Linked DNA regions of Coturnix japonica. The protein of the gene in region 1 purifies or fractionates together with the protein of each later gene. This does not show direct contact. Links are inferred from orthologs where the notes say so. Each region holds a gene or a part of one and is shown on either strand. Other genes may lie near its edges.

Region 1 (3,088 bases):
CAGAGCCTCTCCTGCCTTCTCCCCTAAGTCTTGGGCACTGAGCAGCCCTGGCTCATCACCACTCTCTCCCACAGGACACAGCTGAGTACGTCGCCTACGTTGCCAAAGACCCCGTCAACCAGAGAGGTGAGGCTGGAATTGCAAGAGCCCCATTTTGGGTGCAGCTCAGAGAGGGATTGGGTCCCTGCAGGGAATCTCTGGGGTGCACAGGGTGGGATCAGGGGGTGTAGGATTTAATCCTGCTCTCATCTCGCTGTTCCCTTCCCAGCCTGCCATATCCTGGAGTGCCCTGAGGGCTTGGCCCAGGATGTGATCAGCACAATTGGACAAGCCTTTGAGCTGCGCTTCAAGCAGTACCTAAAGAACCCCCCGAAGCTGGTGACACCCCACGACAGGTAAGAGAAGGGAGAGATGGGGGTCCATGAGGTCTATTGGTGCTGGGAGGGGATGCAGGCCTGGCTGCTGTCAGCTGTTCAGCTGTGTGTTGTTCCCTTCCAGGATGGCAGGGTTTGATGGTTCAGCCTGGGATGAGGAAGAGGAGGAGCCTGCCCCAGATCACCAGTACTACAACGACTTCCCTGGCAAGGAGCCTCCTATAGGGGGGGTCGTGGACATGCGGCTGCGGGATGGAGCTGCGCAGACCCCCAATCACCTGGGGGCCACACTGGTAAGGCGCTGAGCGTGTCTGCAAGGGGCTGCTGGGGAGGTTCTGCTATATAGGGGAGATGCAAGGACCCCAATGGGGCTGTGGGCTGCACAAAATCCACACCACGCTTCTGTCCAGCACCTCTGGCAGTCCATACTGGGGTTTGGGGAGGGGTAAGAGTACAGCAAGGTCTTTTGGTCTCACCATGTGCCTCTCTACAGCCTGTTGGCCAGACGTCTGGTGGGGAATTTGACCCCAGGAAGCAGCACGGTCCCGCTCAAGGTAATGTGATGGATGTGGCTGGTCCCCATAGGCTTTCCTGGTCCCAAAGTGCTCCAGCAATAAGTGCTGGTGCCGGAGCGCTGCTGACCACAGCGCTTTGTGCAGCAGGAAGAGAGAAATACCCACCTGCAGCGGGTGCGTCCGGCCGTACGGACCTATTTGATGACCCATCTTATGTGAACGTGCAGAACGTGGACAAGACACGCCAAGCAGCAGCTGCAGGCAGCCCTGCAACAGCCAACGGCAGCGCCCAGCGAGACCTCTTCGACATGAGTGAGTGGGGACAGCAGCTGCAGGCTGTGCACTCTGTGCTGGGTGTGTGATGGAGCCCCTTCCTTTTCTCCTGCAGAGCCATTTGAAGATGCCCTTCGTGCCCCCCAGTCTGTGCCCGTGACCGTTCCTCCTGCCCAAGTTGTGGCCTCCATGGAGGAGCAGCTGAGGAGGGAACCGTGGTATCACAGGAAGATGAACCGCAAAGAGGCTGAGAAACTGCTGAAGGTGAATGGAGATTTCCTGGTGAGGGACAGCATCACCACCCCGGGGCAGTACGTGCTGACCGGCCTGCAGGGTGGGCAGCCCAAGCACCTGCTGCTCGTCGACCCCGAAGGAGTGGTGAGTCTCTATAACCCCAAAGCTTGGGGGGCCCTACATCTCCCCACAACCCCACCTTGGGGACACCTCCGGGCTGGCTTAGGGGATGGAGGAGGCCTGGTAAAGCATAGAGGGGACTCCTGGGTGTATCTGCAGCCTCTTGAGTTCCCTATTCCCTGCAGGTCCGGACAAAAGATCATCGTTTTGAGAGCGTCAGCCACCTCATCAGCTACCATATGGACAATCACCTGCCCATCATCTCAGCTGGCAGCGAGATGTGCCTGCAGCAGCCAGTGGAAAGGAGACTGTGAGCTCCAGGGGGGCCTCGGTGCGCACCCCCCCACACCCCCCAGCCCTGCTTCCCACCCTGGGGAGCACCTGGACTCAGCCGGGGCTGAGCGTGGACTGCCTTGGGGATGGTCCTCACCCTCCCACCACCACCACACGAAGCTGGCAGCCCTGGGCTGCAGGCAGCGTGGTGTGAGCTGCCTGTGGGGCCGGGGGGCTGGTAGTGCCAAAGCCCCCTCCTCTCCTCCCAGCTCCAGCCTTTTGCTCAGCTCATACCAAATCCCGGCCCCATACGGTGTCAGCACTGGGGGGCACCAGCCCAGGGCCGGGTTCTGCTCCAGCCTGGTTGGAACTGGGGGTGGCCAGGCTTCATCCCATGAGCAGCACCAGCCCCGAGGGGTTGGGGTGGGGGGGATGGAGTGGGGGGGGCTCACCCAGGGCTGTGCCCTGCGCTCTGCTCCCCAAGCACAAACAAGGCCCGGCCGGCCGCGCACCGAATGTACCCGATCACTTTATGTGTAACTGTGCCTTGACCCCGCAGGTCCCACACATATATGCAATGCAGCCGGGCTGGGGTGGGGGGGCTGCCAGCTCCTTCATGCCCTCCAGGTCCTGCCAAGCCCCTTCTCGGGCACCTCCCTTAAAGCCGGAGCTGGCCGGGTCCCCACTGCATGCACCTCGACCCCCCCCCGAAGCCAAAGCGCAGCCCAGCCCCGGCCCCGCTATAACCAAAGGATCCGGCGGTTCGTATTAAAGTTGGTATTTCTTTACGATGCGGCTGCTGTGTTGGGGAAGGGGCGGGTTGAGAACCTAAGGGGGTGGCGGCCGGGACCCCTCCCCCCTGAGCCCCCTCCCCATGGTTCCTCCCTCCCCCCTGAGCCCCCCTAACGTGGTTTCTTCCTTCCTCCCCCCTGGTCCCGCCTCCCCCTGGTTCCTCCCCCTCGTCCAGAGCCCCCTCCCAAATGGTTTCTCCAGCCTGAGCCCTCCCTGCCCATGGTTTCCTCCCCCCAGAGCCCTCCTCCCTCGGTTCCTCCCCCCCCGACCCCCCCCCGACCCCCTTCATAGGTTCCTCCTACCCCCCTGACCCCGTCCCATTGGTTCCCTCCTCCCCCACCCCCAACTGTGGTTTTCTTTTCCTCCCTCCTCTCCTGAGACAGCCTCCCTATGGTTTTCCTCCCCCCTAAGACACTAACGTGGTTCTTCCCGCCCCCCCCCTCTAAAAGTGGTTTCTTCCTCTCTGCCCCCCGAGGCGCCTCCCATGTTCCTCCTCCACCCCTGAAC
Region 2 (2,221 bases), on another chromosome or scaffold:
GGAAGAACAAAGTGAGTGAAGGGAGCTGGGCTGGTCAGGGGGTCTGTGCTGCAGGGATGGAGAGCAGAGCGGCTGCTGCCCAGCTCTTCCCTGCAGGATACATTCAGAGCAGTCCCTGCAGCCTGGCACACAGCAGCAGATGTACAGCTCAGTTGTGCTTCCAGCCCTGCTGCAGAAGTGAAAGTCGGGAGTTGCTGCAACACAAACATTTTTAAGAAGTCCTTTCTGGGAAGGGGAGTGAGTTTGTTTCTTATTTTTGCCTAGCAAAGATCAAGGCATTCATTAACAAGGGATGCACAGCTAAGGGCAGCACTGGCTGCAGCCCCCAGCTGCTTTACATGGGCCTTAGAGCACAACTCACAGCCCTGCTGCCCCCACCAGCTGGGAATCCCTCATAGAACAGTTTTTCTTATCTTTGTAAGTGAAAAAAGCTTGAAAGTTTTATCATTTTCTACCGTGGATTAAACACAACTGGGGTTTAATTGGATATTTCTGCAGGAAAGACAAAATCACAGCAAAGAATGGAAGCTTTTAATATGAGTTTCTTTGGAGCGAGGACAGAAGAGCCGAGGGCTCAAAGAAACACTTCTATTTAAAAAGACAGCTTCCATTCTGCAATGCCTCGAGCAAAATATACAGCACAGGTATTTATAGATATATAAAACAACTACATTCAAGTAACCAAACAATTTACATTTTCCCAAACAGAGAAAATAATGCACGTGATTCACATACCTCGCCCCCGGCCATGCATAAAAGAACACTGCCAGTAAATCAGCAGTTACACATCATTCACCACGCTACCACTCCGACGTACTGACACAGCACTGGGCCGCAGCACTGGGACACACGCAGCACTTGGCACTGCAGCTTCTGCTCAGAACATTTAGGGCTGTTGAAGTCCGGCTCCGCTCGGATTATTTTTCTAAGATCTGTTCGAATTTGGGGTTGGTGAAGGAGAAGCCATCGAACGCAGACTGATCCATGGAGTCGATCAGGTTCTTGTCGCTGTACGAGAGCTTCGGTTTCTCGTTCAGAAATTCTCTGTCGAAGTTGTTGTAGTCACTCGCTGATTTCTGTTAATAGAGCAGGAGGAGCAGTTTGAGATGGGGCTGCAAAGCTTCCAGAGCTGCAGCGCTTCCCAAACCACACAGTGAAAAACCACACAGTGAAAAAAACCCTCTTTGCCTATTCAGGACAACACAACAGCAGCACCATCACATCTGGTTGGGTGGAAGCAAACAGCTCTGTGCCGCCTTGGGAAAAGAAGCACCTGGACTTGTGGTGAAGCTTCACTTCAGTACCCACCGATTCTCTACTGACACAAGCCATGCAGTCACATTTAAACCCATTCCTTGGAATCAACAAATACTCGTAAGTTCCTGAGAGCACTGAAGGTCTGCATTTGCTCAGAGACAGACCCGCTGCCTTCCTGCAGCTCTTTTGTGTCTGGATAAAACTGATAAAACCCCCCTTGGCTCCTATGTGGGCATGTGCAATATTGCCATGAAACAAAGACTCATCCACGTACCACTTTGGGCTTGAAAGGAGGGTCAACCTCCCTCCTCTCTAGGGTCGTCCAGTTGATGGTTTTGAAGAAAGGATGATCCCTGATATTCCCGGTGACTCCCAGTCTCCTTGTCGGATCTCTTTCAAATAGCTGCAAGAGAAGATAACCAATGATGCCATACATTTGCTAAGAAGGCAGGTGGCACTGAAGAAGTAAGGGGTGTGCTGCTGAGCCAGCAAGGGCTGCTGACAGTAAACTCCAGTGTTAACCTCCCTGGGCTTTCAGCTTGTCAAAGTAATCTGCAGGCTGATAAGCAGCTCCTTTTAAAAGCTGAGATTTCAAAGAATCATAGAAAGTTCTGAGTTGGAAGGGACCCTTAAGGCATCCCTTACTCCTCCTGCAGTGAGCAGGGAAACCCTCAGCTCCATCAGTGCTCAGAGCCCCATCCAGCCTGACCTTGAATGTCCCCATGGATGGGGCACCACCCCCCGTCTGGGCCTCACTTCCCTTATTGTAAAAAACAAACAAGCACAAAGGCACTAAAAACCTTCCTAATATCAAATCTAATCCTCCCCTCTTTAACTTAAGACCATTTCCCCTTGTCCTGTCACAGCAGACCCAGCTACAGGCTCCATCCCCTTCTTTCTTACAGCCCCTTTAGATACTGACAGGCTGCTCTCAGCTCTCACCGCAGCCTTCTCTCCTCCATCT

The links. Proteins that work in one complex are often made in the same cells at the same time.
Region 2: the proteins of SHC1 (region 1) and PRKCD purify together in Homo sapiens (affinity purification with mass spectrometry; 3 studies listed by BioGRID and IntAct, with this or other methods). This does not show direct contact. The link is inferred for Coturnix japonica from reciprocal best matches to the Homo sapiens genes SHC1 and PRKCD.

The regions. Positions count from the first base shown.
Region 1 is NC_029540.1:1,438,549-1,441,636, forward strand, and holds the end of SHC1 (SHC-transforming protein 1), read left to right. Parts: intron 1-74; coding exon 75-126; intron 127-268; coding exon 269-395; intron 396-498; coding exon 499-667; intron 668-867; coding exon 868-928; intron 929-1,033; coding exon 1,034-1,201; intron 1,202-1,277; coding exon 1,278-1,540; intron 1,541-1,701; coding exon 1,702-1,830; 3' UTR 1,831-2,577; downstream 2,578-3,088. UniProt on the Homo sapiens protein: Signaling adapter that couples activated growth factor receptors to signaling pathways. Participates in a signaling cascade initiated by activated KIT and KITLG/SCF.
Region 2 is NC_029527.1:587,028-589,248, reverse strand, and holds the end of PRKCD (protein kinase C delta type), read right to left. Parts: intron 1,661-2,221; coding exon 1,532-1,660; intron 1,077-1,531; coding exon 918-1,076; 3' UTR 510-917; downstream 1-509.